2 linked regions of the Lepisosteus oculatus genome follow. The protein of the gene in region 2 binds, or shares a complex with, the protein of the main gene of each other region. Links are inferred from orthologs where the notes say so. Each region holds a gene or a part of one and is shown on either strand. Other genes may lie near its edges. The genes, in order: ntrk2a and frs2a.

Region 1 (12,696 bases), on a different chromosome or scaffold from region 2:
TTATTAAATTTAACATTGGTCAGACTAGGTTTAAATAAGTTTACATATGGCAAATAAAAATGATCCATACAGATTGCTTTTTCAATAAGACTTCTTACACATCAAATAAGGTCTTTGTTTACAGTTAACAGTTGAGGAATAACACCAGCAAATTATGTCAGTGTATCAGTGGACACGTTTTAAAGAACAAATAATAAGTGTTACATAAGTTTTACATTGTAGTTGATTAAAATGGTAGATACAGTGGGTTGTCAACTGGAATGCTTATTATAGACCTTTAGAGAAGTTACTGTATACCCCAAAATATTGTGTGAAAATGAAAAAATTAAATAACCTCAAAATAAACAGTAACAAGTAAAGTGGGAAAAGTATGAAGCTTTATTTTGTGACAACTAGTTGTTTATTGTATATCATGTGATTCTGTATGATGGCACTACCTGGTTAAATGTTCAAAATATGAAGATGTCAATAAAGTTAGTCCATTTGTATTTTTATGTTAAGATTGGCTACCTAGCTTTTCAAAGTGTATACTAAGTTTTAAATTACAAATAGCATTGATTGAGCTCTGCACTTTGCCCTTGCACCTGTTGCTTGCCAGGATAGGTTCCAGTTCCCCTGTGAACATGTATTAGATAAAGCCATTAGAAAATGGATGGATAGAAGTATTGCTCTTGCTAAGAAATAGTCTAGATCAATTCTAGATCATTCTAGCAGTTACTTTTTCTAGATCTATTAACACCTTCCAGTACTCATCTTCTACAGCAAAGGATATATAATGCAATAATAACAAAACTCATACAGTATATTATATTTAGGGTGAACAAGTTCTCACTTTGTTACAATTATTCTTCAAAAAGAAGGACTATTTACCATAAAATATTAAAAAAATAAAATAATTATATTTAAAATTAAAATTTAAACACTATTATTATGAAGCAAAAGCACTTAATATATGTACTTTACTTTCTTTGGATATCTGTGCCCCATCTTTAATGAATGAAGATGTGCATTGAAAAATAACTCAACATATACATTATTTAGAAGTTTTCTTTTGGCTAAAAATTTTATGAGCAATTACATTTAAATGTAGCCTAACTATGGCAAATATAGGAAGACAATAGTGAAGATGCTGGGAGGCTTCTATGAATAATAGATCAACTATACTAAGAGGCTAACTCACGTAAGGACTTATGTGCATCTTATAAGTCTGTTTACGTCACTACAATGTATTTTGGTTCTGTGAAAAGAAGGCACCAGATATTAAATGGTCACAACTTTGATTTATGCTGTTTTTTCTTGTTGATTTTATTAGTACAACTAATGTGCCATTAAAAAGTACTTCATATCCCTGGTCATGTTGTGCAAATTATTAAAAGCATTAGCAAGGATATTGTTAGGTCTGAGGTCACACTTTTAAAGACGGCGCAATAACATGGTCAAAGTTCTGTATGGAAAGAACCATTAATCTTTATTACCTATTAAAAGATGTGCAAGTGCAGCTTTTCAAATATGCCGAAACACTTAAGAAACCAAAATCCAAGATCTAAGAAAAAAATTAAATGAGGGCTTGATTTATTCTCTTATACTGTTCTTATACTGATATTTCATCATCTGAGAACATTTGCAGTATAACTAGTAAGATTAAAATAATTTATGATATAGATTACATGCTGCATTAAAGTCAGACGTGATCCTTCCTCACTTAGGTTTTCCACAATTAAGTAAAACAGTGGCTTTTGTTTGTTTAAAGCAGACAGGGGGAATACTAGCATCTTGGGTAAAACTTGCCTTGGTCCACTGATATTTTCTATAGAGACCAAACTTAGATCATCTGGTTGGAAAGTGTGATGTGTCAGAGGATTCATCAAACAAAGGGGAAGTGAATCCGGCTAAGAAAACCCAGGTGTTTCCAAACATTTGCACTACTGAACCATCAAACACACAAAGAAAATGAATCTGTGCTGCACAACAGGTCAAAAAGTATTCCTTAGAAAACATCAGGCAAGGAACTTAGAAGCCAGTGGGGAACATGCACCATGACCTCCTCTTCTTCAGTGAAGGCAACTCAGGAAAAAGGTTGTTGAACTCAAGTGCATTTAGCTGTATCTAGTTTGAAGAACGTTAAAGGAAACAGTTTAGTCCAGATCATCATCATTGACAGGTTCTTGAGGTCTTAAGAGCACTCACATTTTGGCTCTAAGTGATCTGTATATTCCTAAACTCAATAAATCACCTGCTTTATCAATCCCAATGACATTCCTCCATGGATTTTTTTAAAGAAAAGATCTAAAGTTCTTTTTTTATTTGGAGATCGTCTGTTGTTGTTGAAAAAAATAACTATATATATATATGTTTATACACAAATATAGCAAATAAATAAAACAAATATTATTCTTTAACAATAACTTACTCTTATAGTCACTTGACCAGAAAAGTGGAGACTATCCTTTTAATACCGTATATGTAAACCTGCACCTTTTAATCTAGCACTCGACAGTTCATTTTGAAACATGTCCCAAAACACAATTAGCCAGCAATGTTATGTGGCCATAAGAGGTTCAGTCCAGAGCTTAAGTATGATTTCCCTTAGCTGCTGTTAAACCCACCAATATATTTTGTGTTGCATTACTTTAAAACCACTCAGCGAGTGGTCATCTTGATACAAATTAACAGAGATCAGGTCTCAACTCTGATAAAACAGATATTATGCTAGCTACATGTTTCAATAATGCTGCTGAAGCAGGATTGTTCCAGAAACATGAAGAAAAGTACAAGGTGCATAAGTTTTACTCATATTACAAGGCAAATATGAGAAATTGATATATTCATGGTAACCTATTGGATTAGGGTTCTTCAGGAACCTGGAGTATTATGTTCAACAAAACATTATTTTCTTTCTTATAATTTTGACAGACATTGTATCTGAAATGATAAAACTGGATTTTTTGTAATCATCTTCTCTGGGAACATTGGCACAAATAATCATGGTTATAAGACTGCCTGACAAATTGAGTATGACTAAATGATGAACAAAGAAGACAAAAACATCTAAATGGATCCATGAATGAGCAATTTAAGTTATAGAATAACTAATTACTCAAGTAGGTTAATCTATCCTCATATTTGTACAAAACAGATAGGGACATACCAGAAGCAAGAACAGACAGAAGAACACTAATGGCGGGCGTCGTAGCTGATGACAATGAAGCTATTGCTTCTGGTGTGGCTCAGATGTTATTAATTAAAGCTACAGATTGTCTTAGTGCTTCTTAGAGTTTGGGTTGATTTCTTTCCTTTATCTTGGAGTGCAGCAGAAAACGAGACAGCTTGTTGTTACATTTTCGCAGCCAATCACATTGTGCCATTTAGACGGACCACCTACATTGGGTCATAATTCACCTCTCACATACACATTAAATGTTATCACACTCTCCATTTTACCTCTCACAAACACACACAAAACGCTCTCACATTCAACAGTTTTGTCTCTCACGCTCACATTGTGAAGGAGTGTTTTATATATATGTGCGAGGTAAAACTAGCTTTAAACCGAGGAAGCAGTTATCTGTTCATGGATACACATATTTGTCCGATAATAAAGAATGAGCATTGCTATATATTTTATTTTCTCCCTGGCATATCTGTAAAGATTTTTGAACGGTACTGTACACTTGGGGAGGTTTTTACATGAGCTGGCCTTGCTATACAAAATCTTTTACGGAGGAACTGGAGTTAGAGTGGCCTATGTTGAGAAAAAGCATTAGTGCACCCTAAGCTAATAAATCCCTTCATATAGCCCTGATACTACATTAGAAATTCAGGCTTTGTAAGTATCAGACCATGTCATTGGTATTTGTCACGACCACCAGCCTGCCCAGACCAGCCCCCAAGAGAGCTAACCAGTGTCAGCAGCAGGGCGATACTTACAAGTGCCGCTGCACGTGTTAACTCAGTACCGGAAGCCCTACCGTGCGGCCAGCTGCAGTATTTTAGCCATTCAGACCCACTTCTTGCTGCTCCGTATTGAGTCTACTCTTTGAGAGCTCTACCTGGCATTTATTCTGTACCTCACACTCTTCTGGATTCTGGACTTCCCTTTTGCCTTTTGACTTTGGACCTCGCCTCTCGTTTTGGATTGTTTGCCACTATTTGTACTTCTTGGATTTCGAACCACCTTTCTCCTTTTGACCACGAACTCGCCTGACATACCGGATTGTTCGCCTGCCTCGACACCTACCTACTCCTGCAATCCCAGTGCAGGAGTAATCCACATATCTCTTCACTGGGAATTCCCTACAGTATTTGGATTAATAATAGGGCCTAGTTTATTACACAGTTTATACTGTAATGTCTGTGCTTTCACTTGTTATACATCACCTTGAAATAGCCATCTGTTAGCAACTCTGTCTCATCATCTCCTGTACTGTCAGAGCCTTTACTGCAGATTACTGCTTAGAAGAGAGGGATTCAGAAGCAGTCAGTTTGATTAAGCATAAACATGGTAACACACTTTGGACACCCAACCAGAGCTACTGATCAGAACAATAATCATAAGGTTAGACGTCTTTTAATGCTCTGAATTAAAACATTCAAATATAAAGAGATTATATATGATAAAATGCAAATTTAACTTAACTATTTAACTATCTAATAAAATGCAAAATTTCAAATTGTATTAAATGTAGGTTAAAAGGAGTGCAGACTAGATGTAAACTTGAAAAGAACAGATTTTGTCTGGAAGGATTTTAGCCTACTGTAAGGAGAAAACATAAGACATAAAGGTTGAACCAGAACAAACAGCCTTTGGTGATTCAAGTACATGTCAATTGTTTTACCTTCAATTTGCTTAGGTAAAATACATTGTGGAACAAATGCCAGGTCTCAAGTAATGTACAATTATCCAATAGTTCTCAAAAAGTTGATTCAGTGGGATATTTTGGGGGGAGTGAAAAAAAAGATTGTTTTTGAATGTCTGAATTACTACTAAGAACAAACAAGGCCCTTATAATATTGATTTAATTATATTTAATATAATTAGATAAACACAAAATTATTGAGTGAAGCACATTATCCAGCTCTCTACATTAATCTTATATGGGCAGACTTGCTGATTTTGCAAACCTTGAAATATTCTTAGACACAATAAAACAGGGAGAAGATTCCCTAAGTGAATCAATGCTAAATATGCGCCTATTAGACACTGGGCCATTTTTCAATTACAGCTGCATGTCAATTTTCCTTGCGAATTGTCTGAGTCTTTTAAGATGTACTTATCAAGAAAAAATATCAATGTTAAGAGAATGGTCAAGTATTTTTTCCTTGCATACATAGACTTCAGTTGAAAAGGTAGTTGGAGAACAATTATAAACATCCAGTGAAAGTCATATCTGTTTTGAAACGTTGAAATGTGATTGTTATTAATTTAGTTAATTTTGAAATCTTTTGCCTCTCTACCCAAAGTCATTTAAGGAGTGCAGAATATTTGTATAAGAAGTATGTATAAGATAGCAGTCAAAGGAGAGCATCTACTTCCACGATGGACTGATGAGCAGACAGATTGATGGGCAGCTACAGTGGCAGGATGAGAGCTTGAATTTGAAATTCAAAACGTAGTTAGCTAGTTATCTGGCTCGGCTGGGAAATGGATAAAGGGCTGGTCTGTTTCAAACTTCAATACTGGATACTCTGGATGGGATCAGGTTGGATTGTTTACTGGTCCTGTGGTATGCCAACACTGGCCAATGTATTCATTTTACCAGTGTAATGACTGTCATGTGTACAAATTTAATTTAGTGCTATCTAGGAGGCAGAAGTGCTCATCTGGAGCTTGTCATAGAAAATATTGTTAATATGCATGTATTCTGTAAAAACAGGCAGATAATGTGTTTAATGCTGTATTGAAATATTATTTTGTAGTTTTGAAGGATAACCTGTAGTTATAGCTTTTGTTCATTGCATTAGACTGTAGGTTTTGTCATTTCTGATTACTTATCTTGTAACAATCATAACTCTATCTAGTAACAGTTTGTGCAAAGACTCTACAAACATCACAGTTGGAAAGCACTGCCTGCACTAAAACCTCATTGATCCTTTTGAACTTTATTGTTTGAGTTGCAAGCAAAATAATTTAAATAAAATCAGATGAGATCATTCACAGATGAAGAATTCAAGAATAATGTCAATAGGAATAATCTTTTTGCCTTTCAGTGTTTCAGTCAATAATTACAGCCCACATTAATTATCAAGCTAGTCCAAACAAGCTTTTTTGTTGCTTCAAGGAACAACATTCATAATCCCAAACAAGTTACAAAAACTTTGAAAGTGCCAGTAAGAATTTTGTCATCAATAAGGAATGGCTTGTTTTCAGATTTCATATTTTATTTTCTTTAAAGTTTCTTTGGAATACGGTGTGTGTATGTGTGCGCACCTTTTTTTTCCAATACATTTTTGGCTAAATTGGACCACATTAGCAGCTCCACAGCTGAAAGGTTGTGTTTCTTTTCATCTCTTTTCTGAATGAAATAAACCTTTATCTGTTCCTTTTCAGCCTACACATGCGGACACAGCTACCTACTGTATTTGCTACTCTTGGTTTCCTGTACATGAACAAGTTCTAATTTCAAAGTCATGCATAACCTTGAATGCCTTCTGTCTGTTTCATACTGGGAAAAACACAATCTTGTAACAATTGCATTTAAAAAAGAGTGGTTTTGCCAAGGAAATATGTGTAGAGGTGTTTTTTAATACCTTTCCATTATGTAAATCACATACAGTAGTTCCACTTGTTGGGCTGTACAGAACTGCAGCTGACTTGACGTTGCCTGAATTCTCAGTATGAGCCTTCAAAATGCTGATGATGGCATATTTTTGGACATTTTACCGTTTTTTCTTATGATTCACAACTATACTGTGTATCATCAATACTCTTCATCCCTTGCCTCCGTACAGTTCCTTCTCAGATTTGTGCTCTTTGGATCTTTATCCTCCTTGCTGGAGACTTAGTGGGTATTGCCATTCTTGGGAACCATTTCAGAATGTCTGCAGTCCAATACCAACACATAATACATTAAAGTTCATACTATGTACAGTATACACAAATGCTTATTCATCATGACCTGTATGTAATAAATACAATAAGCCTCTGAAGACGCAAGGGCGCAGCTAGGTCAAGGGATTGTGTATTATTCACATGTGCAGATTTTCTAAAGTCTCGCTAGGTGTCAGGGCAGCCATTTAAAATGTGCCTATCACTCTGCTGAATTACTGCGGTACAATGTCTGGAGCCAAATGAATCGGCGTATTCCCAGAAAACACATTGTCTTCACCTTTCGGCAACCACGATCCCACAATTACCACGGTTAACAACAGGTGCTCTTTATTATCGTTGTGTGGGTGGAAAATAAAAGCTCGCTTTACAAGTTTCTTATCGGCAAACGACGAACAAATCTCTGTACCCTGAAGGTTATACAGTAGAATACAGCTTGTCCCTTAAAGTGAAGCATTTAGTCATATATACTGTATATACACATTGTTATTTATACATACATTATACATATTTAAATTAGACAAATTTAGAATTTTGATAATAGATAGCGCGACAGAACTCTTTTAGTAACCTAAAGGGGTTGAATTACATATAATGCAGATACTATTTGTGTAAATACGATCTATTACATGTAATCATATCAAATATAGACTATTATGAAGAATGTGTGAGGTGTGTTTATGCTGCGGTAAATCCGTGAGGAGAACATCGTGACTTCGTGCTAGGAAAATGGGAAATTCCCATTTGGTGACATTACGTGACAAAAACACGGAATTACACTGCAGGCGAAAGTTTTGACAGACACGACTAGGTGTCTTGTGACGCTGGAGACAGGGTTTTATTGCGTTTCTGCCTCCTTGAACTCTGAGCATTATCCTGTAATTTCTCAATTCTTTATGCAATGTATTTCCTGTATAAATAATAATTTATACAGAAGCGATGCTGGTCCAGTGTAATTGCTGCGGATATACAGTATTAGTGTTTTCAACGGCTGTTTGCTGCTGATTGTTTTTTAACAGGTGATATTGCCACTAACACACATTTAGAAACCTCGAAGCGTACTTCACTTTTTTTGCGCTAAATACAGACACTATGCTTGCGTGTACATGTTTAGTTTCAAAATTGTAAAGATAAAAGCAAAATATTTGGAATCACTTCAAGCATTTTACAGTAGGCATTTTGGCGTATTTCTGATTTCTGAGATTCTCTCAGAATCTCATATTTGCGTCAAATATCACGTCACATTCACAGCTATTGGAATACACTACGTGAGTGAGTGCCTATGTGTGTGTGTGTGAAACAACGCGGCACATTGACTCTCATCCGATATTTGGTAATGCTGGATTTAGTGACTGGCAATAGGTATTGTTAAACATTTTCTATAGCATTATTTTGGTATCCATACATTTCCTACCTCACATTTTATAGGTACAGTACAAATCATATCTTTAATCAGACTGTAAATTAAACACACTTGGAAGCTTTTACCGCTTGCTTGTTCTGAGGTACAGTATATCACTGCAGCCTCATCAGGTAATATGAAGGTGTGCCTTTGATTAAATTCAAACATTTTTTTTAATCTGATTTTCTCGAATGTCAATCTCCTTTCGAAATTTATATTCCGGTGTAGGTTGTCTCACCATGTTTTAATATAATGGTATTCTAAATGATTAACATGTTTCATGCCATGCAAAGCCAGTCTCCAGTTTTGTCTATATAGGATTTATTTTGTTCTGTTCTAGCAATAACCTTTTGCTCCTGGAAAATCGCAGCGAAAATCATTTCTGATATCAGGCTCGTAATTACAACGAGCGGCTGTTGTAGGTTTATCGCGTGTGGTAATTATCGATATACGACTGCTGGTACTCGGTACCTCCTTGCCTTGTCCTCATCACGCACTTACTCGCTCTTTCACTACAGCACCACACGCTCGCTTCAGCCTGCGTGGATCATCTCTGCCTGTTTTTTTTTTTCCTCCAGCCCTGCAGCAGAAACGGAGCAGCAGCAGCAGCAGCAGCAACAGCATCATTTTTTCTGTGGTGTTTTGCACCACTGCGATCAACCAGCCAACCCAAATCTCCTTGGAGAGTGAAGACACCGAACGAAAAGGAGAGAGGGGGGAAGGAAACCTTGGCACACTTTAAAGCCTTTACATTTAATATTGTATGACTCTCTTACTGCGGAGAGAGAAAAGACAATTCGATCACAACCTCACCTCTTACCGAAAGGATTATCTCATGGTTTTTCGCCTTTGTTTCTGACAAGATCGCCGACAGGTTTATAAGGAAGGATCATTTAACCAAATCTGGAAAGGGCAACGAGGGATCCACTATGATCTCCTCTTGGAAGTGGCGTGTAATGGCTCGTTTGGGATTTTGTTGGATTTTGCTGGGGCTTTGGAGGTTTAGCGCCGCTTGTCCTGCAGTTTGTACATGCAGCACCTCAAGAATTTCATGTACCAGTATCGATCAAGAATGGGGAATCAAGGCTTTCCCTGTATTAAACACCGATATAGAAATGGAAAACATTACTGAAATGTGAGTATCATCCACATGAGAGATGGATACGTTCAGGATTGGAATAATGTGTCCAGTTGTACTACAAAAATCATAACGAAACGAAAATGAAAAAAAAACATTAAGACGAAACGCGTTGCAATGTGCGGTGAGCAAAGCCAGAATTAAGTTTCATTCAAGCAGCATCGTGCAAGGTTGACTTATCGGCTCATCTGTTACAGCGGGCTAGTGTTAAAGAAAATAAAATCACTGGAGGACATGTGTGGAAAGGATGAGCAGAAAGATTGAAGGAATGTATCAAAAGGAAGCTCCGGCAGATTGTTTTCAGAGTGCTTTTAAAATAAACTTGTAAAGTGGCCAATTCTGTTCACACAAATACACTGGAAGTAAATGGATTACTGTATATGTTAGGTTTATGTAGATCTTAAAGGATTGTCAGTGGTAAATGCGATGTACACTGTACTGTACTGTATGAGCCATTAAAGGGCAGCATCAGTTGAACTACACGCTTATATGTATGTTCAAACAGTGGCCGTGGTATAATTATTTAACTAAAATGGACCCAATACCCGACACTAGACAACGTGTGTGGAACAAGAAACACGTATTTGCGAAAACGACTTTCAATAGGATGTATGTCATTTTTTCATTGGAAAGGTGCTGAAATGTGGAACGGCTTAGGCTGCTGCTGCTATCAGCCAGTTTTGCATTCCCGTAATAAGAGGATTGATAGACTGTAAAGGAACGCAACCCTAGCAAAATCCGAGCAAAGACGCGGCATATTAGAATCACTCCCTACAGCAAACGAATTTAGTTCTTGGCTCACCTTTAGTTTTAGATACGATAAATTGACTTTTTATTGGTCAGCTAGGTTATGCAGAAGCATAGCTATTATACATCAGCTGTGGTGTGAAATTATAAGACTGTTATTCTTCCTTTTTTATAACTATCTTATTATTGAAAAGATAGACTGCTGAGATAAAAAAGGCCCTAAACATAAATGTGGCCATTGAAATTTAAAGGAAGCAGAGTCGTATAATTCGCTACACATTAATCCGCGAAGTGTCTTTTTTGCTAAAGACTTAACATCAAGCCCCTTAGGTACCTGAAACTATTTTTTTCTTATTTGTTGTACAAGGTAGATTTCTTTCAAACAGACGATAGAGCGCATTTAGTGTAGCCTTATTTTATACTAGTTATTTAGGTTCTTAGACTGTATAATTTGCTGCGATATAAAGTCTTCAAACACTGTGATATAACTATGGGGAAACCACCAGTGCATCAAGAAAAGCGTTAATTGACACACAACTGTTAGATCGATCCAACTTTGAATTTAAGAGACTAGATCAATTAATCGATAAAAAAAAATTCACCTCGCCAGCTGTTTTCATCAAAATATTTTAAGGCCTTTACTAAGGCATACAAAATGACTAAAGCATGTAGCCCACTTTATAGAGGCGTTTTACAGAAGCGATTATATAAGGAATTGCTAAAAAGCAATAACTGGACTTAACATAAATTAATTGATAAAATATCTTAAAGGGCCCTCTTTTTTATAAAAGCACAACACACAATGAGCAAAGGGATTCTTTAATAGTTTTTGGAAATGACAAAAATATTCAAGAATGGTTAGTGAACATGTAAGGCCATTATTTTAAGTTATGCACATTATATTATTAACTGTGTAAAAGGCAAATTAATTTTTTGTAACATTATTTTAATGTCTTTTAACAGATACATTGCAAATCAAAGTAATTTACATGCCATCACCGATAATGATGTGAAGTTCTATAAGAGCCTCAGGAATTTGTAAGTATCAGATATTAAAAACAGCAATGATAATACTTATGACAACAGTCGACAACAACAATAATCATTTTGTTTTCATTGTCAACAGAACTGTGACAAACTCGGGATTGACTTATATATCCCGTTTGGCCTTTCAGAACAATGTGAAGCTACAATATCTGTAAGTAATGGTTTTGTAAGTTGTAAGTTGAGTACTTTCATTTCAGTTTATGGATAAATGAAAAAAAAAACTTAATGTTATATACACATTTTTAATTATTTTAATAAATTACTAACATCTAGTGTACAACATGAAAACCTAGTTTTCTTTTTCAGTCATGTACACATACTTTGGTGTTCATTTGGATTTCAAGTGATTAATTTTAAAATGTCTTGACAAAGGGGAGTGTGCTAAAAATATTGTATTTTTCTTTTTGCCACAAAATGATTCAGACATTTTACATTGCAGCAGGTTCTTTATATCTACAGTATATCTCAGTGACAGTGTTCAGATGTATTGTGATTTTATAACCGGTCAAGAACTATAAATACAATTCTGTGTGCAGCACAATTTGAAACTGAGCATGGTGTCTTCTCAAATAAGAGCCAAATCCTAGCGTTGGCTGATGTACTAATAGGCCTTGTCTGCTAGGTTTACTCACTGCGTGTTTTGTGCTATGAAGGTGTTTATTTGTGGATTGATTGAATTGCAGGAATCTAAAAGACAACAGGCTGTCATCATTGTCTTGGAGGACCTTCCGGCATTTAAACTTGACAAGTTTGTAAGTATTTGTGATAAAGCAAAATATCTGTCTATGGGATTGTTTGATAAAATATGCATGCTTTTACCTTAGGAAAGGCTGATATGAATCCTTTTTGTGTGACACAAGCAAAAATATGTTTTTTTGTAAATTCAAGATAATTGAATAAAATACAGAATAAAGTAGTTTTACCCAGTAAAAATAAACTTTGCCACGGATTTCCTTTATTTTCTTGTCTTTTTAGAACTGTCTATCAAAATAGCACTTTAATGTGAAAACCCTGCCATTTAGTATCCTTTCAGGCAATCCTTTGCAGTGCTCATGTGGTAACTTGTGGATCAAGCTATGGCTGGGAGATGAAACAGAGAGCCAAGAGATAGTGTGCTGGGATGACAAAAATAGAAATAAGCCACTCTCCAAACTGTCTCTTCCAGAGTGCGGTAATTTCAATTTTACTATTATTAAAATTAACCCCCGAATAAAATGCACATGATTTATTTAACCATGCAATTTGGTGTACTATATATAAAAACATGTATTTTCATTAAAAAAAAAAACTGTTGAAGGGCTTGTTGTGAAATAACAA
Region 2 (12,075 bases):
ATACATTATACTGTATGTCTTCAGTGGTGGATTTGAAATTGAATATTTGTGGCTTGCTAAAGCTCTGAAACGTTCTAAATATGAATCCGATCACAGCACAACACCAACCTTTGATTTTGCAAAAAGCATACAGATTAACTTTAAAGTAGATTCAATGCCGGAATTATAGTTACTTTTGCCTTCGAAGAAAGGTTGCAATTAAACTGCAGCCATGGTGTAATCTATATACAAGGCTGGCGTACGTGTGTCTATGAAACAAGCTTTTATTCAATTTCATCTGTTTGTTTTTCCATCCTAGTTCTAGTTCTCATCATTCCTAGTGGAAACTGTGACCTATTTTATTTCTGAAACAGTAGTTGCAAACTAAAAATCCTTTTTCCAACCCTATTAACATTCATAACTCTTTCCAGTTCTGAATCCGTTCTCCTTAACCTTTATTGACGTAGAACTCCTGTATTTTTTTCTGTCTTAAAGGAAGAGCCAAGAGATGCAAACGACCATAGTGTTAGTGTTCTATTTTAAAAAGAAACTCTCATTGTATGAAAATGGTGGTTCTCAACTGCACCTCAATAATAGTGGGACTTTAGCCTAATTTGACAATTTAGGGATTTCCAAAAAAAGAAGGAAAGAAAGTTACATTGAGATTCAAAGCTGGATTAATCAAAAATAAAGAAATACTGACAGATACCAGATGCCTTTGTCCATCCCAACTTTTCTTTATTGTTCCAGCTTTACATCTATGCTTTCATTACGTTTCACACATTTTACAAATGTTTTGTAATGAGCCTCAGGTGACGTACTTGGTGTTTTAGATTTTAAGAGATATTTCTTATCTTATTAACTTACTAAAACCAAATTCAGCCAGCATTTGTGAAGGATGAGACATACTTTGATACAATCAACCCAGTGCATTTCTTCAGAAGTGACAGTGAAACATGAAATATAGGAAAAAAAGATTACATCTCCAAGCCTTTAACTGAGCTAATGGATGAATAGCAGTAGTGTAATTCAAAGACTGCTATTTCTGCTGTTAAATTGAGACCAGAAAGTATGCTAATGAACTAAACTGATCTCTGAGAAGTTTCCATTTAGAGGTTCACTTGAAAACTTTACACTTCCATAAAAATATTACATTCTGCACCTAGGTATGGAAGACAAAGGAATATTAATGATTCGGTAGTGTTTTATTACCATAATATGTAATATTTGTTAAATGTATCTTTTCAATATGTTTAATTATTGTGTTGTGGATATACATTCCTCTGGGGGAAGGCAAGCAATACAATTTAAAATATAATATACTATTACATGTTGCTTGGAAAATGGCATTAATGCTTTAATTTTTTCAGTGGTTCAGTTTCTGTATAAAGAAGGGCAATATTTATTTAATGTCAAATACATTTCAGAATTTAAAATAAAAACACAAAACTTCAAACATTTTAAATTTTGCCCATTTCTACCCCCGAGAAATATCCACTCCTACACTCAAGCCAGCTGTAATGTGACCTTTTTTATTGTCGGTCAAAATCTGGATATTTTACAGTCTATCAGAAAGAATGGATAAGAAAAAAGGAAAAGAAGTAAATACGCAATACAATAGCTTTAAGTCAATATTGTGGTAATGTCAAAGGAAACAATACATTTAATACATCAATACATTTTCTGTGCCTTAAGCCAATTCCTTGCAGAACGTCAGATATACAGTGAAATTGTGCTTGCAAGTCTGCACAACTGTTGCGAACACCAAATTTAATTAGTATTATGATAACAGAACAGAAACAAATCCCTCCAGGCCCACTGCTATTATTCCTGAAGGTTTTAAAATCATGAATGAGTGGGGGAGGCAGGGGTTTCTAAAGTGCCCTTCGAATGTATTGGGACAGCAAAATCAAAACTATTATTTTTGCTTTACAGTCGAGCAATTTGTGCTTATAATCATGAGATTAATATGAAAGAAAAGTGCAATATAGTATACATTTATTTTTGCACAATCCCTTGCGTGCATTTGATCATTTTAGAACAAAAACATACTTTGTGTTCGAACCAGTGATTTCAAATTACCATTGGTATTGGGACACACCCTCTTTAAATAAAGATCAGAGTGTAAAAGTTAGTATTTGGTTGTATACCTCTTTGATTTAATAACTGCATGAAGCCCGTGACCCATTGAATTTACCAAACTCTTTGTGCAATCATTCTAGATGCTTTGCTGTGGGCACTTTGAGTTCTTGCTTATTCTAAGGGTGTTTTAACGAACGATTTTCCTTAAGCAGGTAAAGCGCATGCTGAATTGGATTACTATCTGGTGATTTACTTGGCCAGTCTTAGATTTTGCATTTTTTTTCTCCTGGTGACCTCCTTGGTGGCACTGGCAATGTATTTTATGTCACTGACAAATGGCACGCTGAAGCCTCGCCCAATATGTAGGGAAGCGTTTTCTTTTACGTAAGCAGATAAAATATTTCCGTAAACTTCAGAATTCATTCTGCCTCAGCCATCATTAGTGACATCATCAAAAAAGACCTGTGATCAGCTCCAGAGGTGGCCACACATACCCAGGCCAGGCTATGTGTCACAGATGGTGGTCTTCTTATAGCGCAACTGCAGTTCCTTTTGTTCCGACAATTTTTTACTTTTCCATCACATGGTCTCACCTATCCTTAAAACATTGTTCCAACAAGTCTTCTGTCTCATCTTTGTACTTCTAAGCAAGTTGTAAATCATGGAGGTTATGTCCCGACTGACCTGGGTATTCTTAACATTACCCTCAGACACTCTTAGGGAGCTCACTGCCTTTGTCACTACCAGCCTCTCAAGGTTTGCTTTAAACAAAGTACTGCCATCGTCACCTGGGCTGATAATAGTGGCTCATCATTATTTGTTGGTCAGGCTGGCGCCCGTCTGAGGTCGACACTAGAGTGACCTGGAAGGATAACAGTTTATTTTCGGTGAACGAGAATTATGATAGCAAGATTGCGTTCCTTCTGAAGAGAAATGCAGTTGCTTCCTCCTGGGAATAAGAGTTCACAAGCGGTGGCAAAACAGGCAGGCGAACCATAGCCAGAGGCTACAGGGACAGAGGGTCAGGAAGGGACTTCTGAGAGTCTTGCCGCAAAGTTCTACATCCCTAGAGAAGGTCGCGCCACCTTCTTAATGTTCAAAATGTCTAAAGTGACGAATGTAGGAGGTGGCTCCTGCCTTGCAGCTAGTCAGAGGTCCTCCACTGACGCCCCATTATAGATGGCCCAGCGTGAGGAGGCGGCCCCAGCAGAATGAGCCCTCAGGACCGCCTGCGTGGACCTCCACAATGCAATGGCTTGCTGGTTCTTGGAGAATGCGGTACCCCAGTTCTCATCCTCAGAGTGCAAAAAAAAGTGCACAGATCTTATAAAAGGCACATACAAATGTAGAGTGCCATTACTGGACACAGAAGATGGACTAACAGCGAGCACAGCTCAGAGGGTGAAAGCGTCTTCTGGAAGGTAGACAGTATCTTAGGCACGGAGGACGGGCTGAGCAGAAGTGTGGCTGAGCTGTGGTCAGGGGTAGGGCTACGATTTTAACACAGGCATTTTTAGCAAATGTCACGGACAGGTCACAGGAAAATAACACCCTAATCATGGAGATGTACTCACATAACACAGTTTTTGCTACATCAATATGGATGCTTTACATATCAGTTTTAACAACAGATCTAATTTTGACTACTAATTAATTGTAGAGTGTAAAATGACCATTTACTCATAGTTAGTACTTTCTGGAGATGATCTGACATGATCTGGCAGCTATGGCGCTGTTTTTTTCAGACAGCTTTTCGTACTAATGTTGTCTAAGTTATGTAGTGGAATGTCAGCGGTGCAGAAAGCCTCTGTACGTCAGTAAATATCTGTCCCACAATACAACAAGTCAGCTTTCTCACTCCTTTTCGTCCTCTGGTTTGTTATCTGCGGTCAAGTACAGGCCTTGCGACTTATGTTCACGCAAAGCGCTCTGCACATGCTTGCCACAGCGTTGGTTTTCTCTTGTAATCTGTGCATTGCAAGCAGCCCAAAACGGCCTCCTTTGGGTAACTCTTACTTCTCTCCTCGGCAGTTGCAGTAGCAGTCGCAGTCGCAGTTGCACGTCACTGTACTTGGCATTGCCATCTTTTCCCCCTACGAGCTGATGCACCCTGGGCCAATGGAATGGCCAGAGAGAGGGAGCACCAGCCCCCAGATGAAACATGCTGGGAAGCTGGGACAATGCCGGGACTCCAGGGAGGTCTTACAGTAAAACGTGGCGGGTGATGGTGAGTGTGGTGGGTGATGTCACATGGCCTTGTGCAGGAATAGGGTTGGGCGGCAAGTACAACATCGCAGGTCCCCTTTCTAAGATGGAGGCATGTAACATAATTTTTAACATAAGATACACTGATTTAAATTCTAATCTTTTAACTATATATGCTTGACATTTTCCTTGACTTTTTATTGCTTCTCCATATTGTCTAGATGTGAATGATGTGTCATCATATACAACCTTTTCAAGCTCAGCATTTTCCCTTAGATATTGCTCCTTTGTTTTGCCCCTTCCACTTAATGTCTGTATTAACCATTATCTGCCACGATTGAATTTTATCTCTATTTTTTAATTTGATGTGCCCTTTCAGTAGTGTTTGCCAATCCTCGTATTCGTCTGTGTCGGCAAACTTGACTAGTTTACTAACTACACTTGACTCTAGATCATTGATATAAATCAGAATGATAGTGGTCCTAGTACAGATCCCTGTGGGATTCCACTATATCACCCCAAGGATTGCCAAGACCATCACTCTTGGGTGTGAGTATGATCAGCACACAGCATGTGCCAGCAAGACCTGAGACACCAGCAGCTTAATTGAAAATTGAACTGGCAATGAATCTGGCAGTCCTGAAGACTTATGCTTTGGGGGAGTTAGAGGATGGAGGATCTCAGGGGTATCATCTTGCTGAGGGCTGAGTCACTGTCAAGACCTCAAGGGGGTGAAAACCAATTGGCGCACTTTGACTGCACGCCTAACAAGAGCTGTTGAGACTACAGGGAGAAAGAGTTTGTGTCCAGGATCAAACCTTGCCAAAACCTCATGGGCACAATCCCTGATTAAGGCTCAAGACCGTACTGACTTTGAGCTGGAGATGTCCACTTCGAGGCTGGAGTCCAACAGCAAGACTTAAGGCTGTCAAGACCCTGAGGAGTAGACAATTGTGCAGGGGTCCAGGGCTCGGCCGTGACCTCATAGGACATACGGTGCGTCTACTTCAATGAGAAAATGCCCTTTTTGAGGCTTGGGGCCTTGAGTTTCAGTCCCCCATCAAGACTTGAGACAAAATCATGACCTCGAGGAAGGTCCTCGCCCATATTAAGACCAAAGAATTGTAGAGCACATAGGAGCTGCAGGTGGACTGAGGCTCGAAACCTTCAAACAGTCAGACCATTAAAACCTCTGATGAAGTCCCACATGGGCTTGAGACTGTCGAGACCATTGTGAAATTAATAATAATAATAATAATAATTGCTTAAACTTATATAGCGCTTTTCTGGACACTCCACTCAAAGCGCTTTACAGGTAATGGGGACTCCCCTCCACCACCACCAATGTGTAGCATCCACCTGGATGATGCGACGGCAGCCATAGTGCGCCAGAACGCTCACCACACATCAGCTATCAGTGGGGAGGAGAGCAGAGTAATGTAGCCAATTCATAGAGGGGGAGTATTAGGAGGCCATGATTGGTAAGGGCCAATGGGAAATTTGGCCAGGACACCGGGGTTACACCCCTACTCTTTTCGAGAAGCGCCCTGGGATTTTTAATGACCACAGAGAGTCAGGACCTCGGTTTTACGTCTCATCCGAAGGACGGCGCCTGTTTACAGTATAGTGTCCCTTAGTTTTTCCCAGGAGGTCTCCCATCCAGGTACTGACCAGGGTCACACCTGCTTAGCTTCAGTGGGTTGCCAGTTGTGAGTTGCAGGGTGATATGGCTGCTGGTTGGACACCGGTATTGGGCTTTAAGACCCGGGGTTGATGAACCCTTGAAAAGCCTTAAGATTTTGTTGAGACCCTTGGAAGCACAGCCATAACTGCTGTGGGTCTCCAGTGGAAATCCAGAGGAAACCAAGATTCAAGATTGGGGCACTCTGACTGCACGCCTAACCGCTCTGCTTTTGCCACTTGAAACCCATTGCTGCAGAGGACAAAATGGAGGGATGAGAGCGAGAGAAGGAAGAGAAAAAGAAAAAGGCTTTCTGGAAACCTAGCAAACTTTTCCTGCAGAGGGTCTCACTAGAGGTTAGAAATTCTCTAGAAACAGCCTCGTTGAAGTAAGAAGTGAGAGATGTGCTGTTAGGGAAGCAAAAAAAGCATGCCTTTATTACTAAAAACCTATATAAGTGATGCATCCATCTTTGAACCAATACATGTGTGATGTCCATTACAACAGAGAAAGAGAAATCCATATTTGAGAATCACAGAGCATCAGCCATCCACACTGACTGCACATTGAAGACATTGGAGATTGTAATTGGCTTAACCAATCAGTGGACTGACTCCCTCATAGAGGTACTGTGCCCACTGCTTAACTCACCCACACAATGTGTTAAGTGCAGTGCTGCCATGTTTAATGCAGAGTTTCATTTTAAAGTATTAACCTTAATCATACAGTATTTAGTTAATTGTGTGATGCGTTCCAGCCAAAAAGGTTTTGTGTTCCAAACCTTTTAATGCTTTGTACTGTAGACACTCCAGTCCAGCTTTAAGAGTTCAAAATAGGAAACTACGAAAACGTTTTGGAATTCCGAGGAAAACACTTTTTTCTCCGTGTAGGACTGTAACATTTACAGTATGAACCAAAACTTTGTCATATTCATAACATATTCAACTAACGAAGTTCGCAACCAAAAGTTTGGAAGCACTAAAACATTCAGAAAAATCCACATGTAGCGCTTCTTAGCAGTTTACACTTTTTTATTTGTATTATCTTTTTATTTTTAACGACGTATATTTAACTTTTTTCTGATGCGTCTTTTGCGCACCAGAAAAATATCCCTCCGTGGTTGAAAAAGTTCGCTCACACAGTTTGTAGCCACACACGAAAACAAAAACCTAAACTCCGTCTCCAATAAATATGACGCCTTCGAAATGTGCATTTACTCGTTCACCAAAGACGGGGCAACCGTTTGCAGCTCTATTGTTCTCGCTAGATAGGTTTCAGGGAGAAACCCAGACCCGACCCCTTCGCCCCCCGCTTTCCAAACGCGCGGTGACCCGGATGCAGTCGGGCTGCGGATCGAGGCCCTGCGCTCCCGGAGCTGCTGGCCAGTCGAGCGAGATTTCCAAGGCTGGGCGACGGGAGAGCAGCTGGCTCGGCTTGTTTGCTCTCTGTTTACCAGCGTTTTCGCCGGATTTCGTTCCCTACGACGCGCGGACTCGGCAGGCACAAAGGACGACAGCGAGAAGTTGGTGAAAAAAATTGTCGAAGGGGGTGTTGTTGTTTTTTTTTTTGCGGGGAAAAGGGAGAAAGCAACCGCTTGTGAAGTTTGGAGCTTGTTTTTTTTTTTGGCGCTCTGGCACGTAGAGGGAGAGGAGACGGAGTTGGGCTTGGGGTTGGTTTCTTTTTCCTCCTCTCCTTCGAGTCGGGAAAAGGGATTTACGCAGCACAGCTACACGGGCGCACGGGAGTCCGGGACGCACGTCTCCAGTGGGACTTCTCCGCGACTTTCCCCGAGCCTCCGTTTCCCGTAAGTTCACCAAAGTTTTGATTCATTTCTGGAAAACGGCGCTGGCTGGTTCTGAAGGGTCCCCCCCCCTTCCCCGCTGCTCTATCCCGGGCGCTGCGGTCACTGCGGAGGCTGCTGGCCGAGGGGTGCCCGCCGGTCCGTGACAGATCCGCCGTGCGGGGCTGGCGGGCGCCTCGCAGACCCCGCTCTCCCCTCGACCGGGAGTTTCTCCGCACGCTTTCGGGTGCGTGTTGTTATGCTTGTGTGGGCTTTAAGAAACTGGGGTGGTGGTGGTGGTTTCGCTTTGCTATGCGGTGAGGAGGGGGGGGGGAGGAGAGGCGAAGAGTTGAGACGCCTTAAAACTTTAAAACAAACCTTGTATATAAGGTTGGGGCCGACGTGTCCGCTGAGTTTTTTATTCTGCTCGGGAAGTGCCCGCTTGCGAGTTATTTTCAACCGTGGCAGTGGGGGCAGCCCGAGTGCCTGTGTTGTGGCACGTATCTGGGTTCATTCAAAACTTTGCTGGATTGAAGCTGGGGGGAGGCATTGCGTTTGTGTGTGTGTGTGTGGAGGGAGGTATTTAAATAATAAAGCGAAGCTGTACGTCTTCTTTCTGTGCAGCGGCGAAGATAGAGGTGGTAAAACATGCATGTAAAACCCTCTGTATATACCGTAGTATTTGAGAAAATGTTGATTTCTTGTACAGCTGGACCCCCTGGGACCTGGATTCGTAACTGGGCTTTGAAATAACACCCTGCAATTAACGTGTGGTTAATGGTGGGGCTAGTTACACTTAATTGGAATTATTGCGTCTAATTATCCGAAGGGGGGGTGTCCCTCGATATAATTGGAAACAGTGAAACGGTTCGTTTTGGAGTTTCTTTTTTTAAAATAACCAACAGGTAAAAGGAATTTTTTATGGACCAAAAAAAAAAAGAATTTAAGAGCGCCCACGGTTGAATTGGCTTCAAAACTAAATGCTCGGCGTGGTGAAGAGCTTCTCAAGACGTGTCCGCGGTTGTAAAGTTGCGGGACGCTGCGACGGAGGGCTGGAGACGTTGCTGTTTGTTCGTGTGGAGGGAAGGCGGGGGGGGTGTTTGCCTGGACGGGGGTTTTGCTCGGCGAGGCTGCGGCTGAGGAGTAATGAGGTAACTCGAGGGAGAAAGGGCTGGCGCAGCGCCAGGGGGGTTTAACTAGTAGCCAGTGCGCGGACCCACGCCCCCCCCCCACTGGCGAGGTCCTCGAGTGAAAAGGAGCTGCGTTTTGAGAATAACGGAATCAAATTCTCTGCATTTCTTGCTAGTCTTAAAATTATTGGTGCTGACATTTACGCCTTTATAGTTTTTTTGGGGGGAGTCCAGGGAGAGAGAGAGAACAGACTTTTTCAAATTCAAGTCAGGTATTTTGTTCAGACTTGGTAGTAGCCTATCTGCTATACTCCCAACTATTGTTTAAAGATAATCCTTATGCAAGAAATACTTTATGGTTTCCTAAGTGTTTTGCCTGGGTGTTGTCTAGGAATTATTGTTAATCTAGACTCGGTATTCTCAGTTTAGCCTTCTATCAAATAAAAAGTGTGGTTTTGTTCATTGCGCATAGGACAATTGTGCCCATTTGATTTATTTTTACCTTAGTTTTATCGGAGTTAGTAGTGATGTACAACATTGGTAATATTTCTGTAGCGCCGACAAGTCGTATTTTCGTATTTACCCGGTGACTGTCGTGCTTATTTTCGATATTTTGGTGTCGTGCGAAACATTATATCACCTTATCTTGGGTTTGAAACCGCGAACCGTCTGGGTAGCTGCTAAAGATTCCGAGAAAATTGGCTGAAAAGTTAAATTTACTTCGAAAAGCAGACAGACAGGAAAACGAGTAATTTCATCCCACAGCTCGTAATTGTTAGCTACCCATGAACGGGAGAACGCCGTGTCAGTCAGAACAGTAATAACCAGCTTACTTTCACTCCGGTCCGTAGAGGGATTTTTTTTTTCCCGAATTCGCAGATTTTTGTCTTGTGTGTTCATGGAGTAGCCAAAACCTTTTGATCGGTGTTTGTTCTGGATAAAAAAAAAAGAAAAACGAACGTTTCGAGCACTAAAAAAGGGTTACAGCCGTACTTCAATTAGGATATAAGCTTATTTGTGCTAAACAAATCAAACGGAACCCCACAGCACTGGGAAGTATTTGAGCTTTTCGGACCGCTAACTTATTATTGTGTATTACAAAATCTTGCGTATAATGTTTTTTTTATACTATTTAGTCTCATAGTCATACAATCCCAATGTTATGTCTATTTCTTTCACTTTGCAACCCACTCAAAACGTTTTTTCGGCCCTTTACTGTGATACAATACTGTGAGTACTTTAAACCCAGTGCAAAGAATTTAAGAGAACGAAATACAAAGCAAATATAAACCCCTTTAGCTCTTGTGGTACTTTGAATGTATCTTTCAATGGGAGCGTTAAATGAAACGATTTAACAACGTCTCTGCTCTTCACCGTTTCAGGAGCTTCGAATTAAAAAATGCACGAGAGAAGGCTCATAGAAAACTTGTAGATACAGGAGAAATTGTGGCTTCTTTTCCACGTACACTTACATGTAGTTACTTAAGTGTAAAAAAGGTTTGTGCCTTTCATTTGGACTCCCTTTAAATTGCCTTAAGAGAGCCATTTTGTTCAAAATAAATGTAGAGTCTGATTTTTTTGTGCTTCTTCTGTAAAAGCACAAATACACAGGCAAAACAAGTTGCATGAACTCACACGAAGGAAATCAAAACAACAGTAGGAAATAAATGAGTAAAAAAAGCTTTTCCAGAGGAATATTCCTATGACTGTTTTTTTTGGTTTGCTTCATTCATATAATTGACTCTTGGGTGCTGTGGAATATAGCCTGAGTTTTTTCCCCCTCTTTGTCATACTGTACCTCATACTGTACTCGGCAGATACATCTGTGAGGTTTAGTGTCTCAGTGCTCCACCTTGGCAAAAATATATCAAGTGGGGGGTGTTTGTCGATCTCCTGGTCACATTCCTGTGACTCCTGTTGGATAAGAAACAGTTCTGTGAGAACTGCCCGCGTGTGGTGCTGTTCATCCCAGAGCACTTTACATAACGGAGGAGACGCGCGTCCCCAACCACCCAACAAAGTGGGGCTGCCCCCAGTACTCAGCCGGTCAGGTGCAGGAGACTGGGATCGCTTCACCGATTGAATTAGGTGTTAGGGGGTTAGGTGTTTTAGGGTGTGCCAGCCCAGAGTGGAGATTAGTCAGGACTCCAGGGTTAACGCCCCTAGGTTTTCTAACTGTGCCATGGCCATTGAGGTCCTGGGTTGAAGAGGTGTTAGTGGGGCCAGCAGGGGGCGCTCACCCTGTGGTCCACGTGGGTCCTAATGCCCCAGTATAGTGATGGGGACACTATACTGTAAAAAACAGGTGCCGTCCTTCGGATGAGACGTAAAACCGAGGTCCTGACTCTCTGTGGTCATTAAAAATCCCAGGGCGTTTCTCGAAAAGAGTAGGGGTGTAACCCCGGCGTCCTGGCCAAATTTCCCATTGGCCCTTACCAATCATGGCCTCCTAATAATCCCCCCTCTATGAATTGGCTTCATTACTCTGCTCTCCTCCCCACTGATAGCTGATGTGTGGTGAGCGTTCTGGTGCACTATGGCTGCCGTCGCATCATCCAGGTGGGGCTGCACATTGGTGGTGGTGGAGGGGAGTCCCCATTACCTGTAAAGCGCTTTGAGTGGAGTGTCCAGAAAAGCGCTATATAAGTGTAAGTTGTTATTATTATTATTATTATTATTATTATCTCCTTTGAAGGATGACTTTCAGCACAGTGCCCCCCCCTGTCATCACGAGGGGATGATAGCCAGAGGCCTCTGGACCAGAGAGGGTGACTGCCGCCTCCTGGTCGGCCAACCGCAACCTGGTTTTTCCCCAAGAGGTCACCCATTCTGCCACTGATCAGGCCCAGCCTCGGTTAGCCTCTGCGATCTGCCAGTTTGCTGAGTGTTTATGAGCCTGTTGCAGTGTGGATGTGTTTTTGATAGGTTAGTTAGGCAGACAGGGGACAAGTGAAAAGAGCCTTTCACCCATGTAATCAACTGAGCCTAGATCAGTGGTTCCCAGCCCCGGTCCAGGAGGATCACTATCTGCTGGTTTTCATTCTAACTGAGCTACAGTACATGTCCACTGCGAATTGAGGACTTCATTGATCTGCTTGCTTGTTTAGACTTGTATTTAACTTGTTTCTTTGGTCTGTTCTGAGAGTCACAAATACTCGACTTCAGCTGTCCTGTTTCTAACAACCTCATCACACAGAGCTTCACACAGCCTCTCGTCA

What was found.
Region 1: the proteins of frs2a (region 2) and ntrk2a are in contact, whole or in part, in an NMR structure (PDB 2MFQ), measured with the Homo sapiens proteins. The link is inferred for Lepisosteus oculatus from reciprocal best matches to the Homo sapiens genes FRS2 and NTRK2. Residues at the interface, in NP_001036020.1 of Homo sapiens: Val26, Asp27, Asp28, Asp29, Gly30, Tyr59, Leu60, Cys61, Leu62, Arg63, Arg64, Tyr65, Gly66, Tyr67, Asp68, Ser69, Asn70, Leu71, Phe72, Ser73, Gly77, Arg78, Ile86, Ala88, Lys90, Phe98, Gln102, Met105, Gln106, Ser109; in NP_001018074.1 of Homo sapiens: Pro498, Asp499, Val501, Ile503, Gly504, Met505, Thr506, Lys507, Ile508, Pro509, Val510, Ile511, Glu512, Asn513, Pro514, Gln515, Tyr516, Gly518, Ile519.

The regions. Positions count from the first base shown.
Region 1 is NC_090698.1:61,691,580-61,704,275, forward strand, and holds the start of ntrk2a (BDNF/NT-3 growth factors receptor), read left to right. Parts: upstream 1-8,003; 5' UTR 8,004-8,064; intron 8,065-8,314; exon of another isoform or gene 8,315-8,407; intron 8,408-8,894; exon of another isoform or gene 8,895-9,025; 5' UTR 9,026-9,376; coding exon 9,377-9,582; intron 9,583-11,295; coding exon 11,296-11,370; intron 11,371-11,458; coding exon 11,459-11,530; intron 11,531-12,062; coding exon 12,063-12,131; intron 12,132-12,401; coding exon 12,402-12,550; intron 12,551-12,696. UniProt on the Homo sapiens protein: Receptor tyrosine kinase involved in the development and the maturation of the central and the peripheral nervous systems through regulation of neuron survival, proliferation, migration, differentiation, and synapse formation and plasticity.
Region 2 is NC_090702.1:23,424,682-23,436,756, reverse strand, and holds the start of frs2a (fibroblast growth factor receptor substrate 2a), read left to right. Parts: upstream 1-7,066; 5' UTR 7,067-7,751; intron 7,752-12,075. UniProt on the Homo sapiens protein: Adapter protein that links activated FGR and NGF receptors to downstream signaling pathways.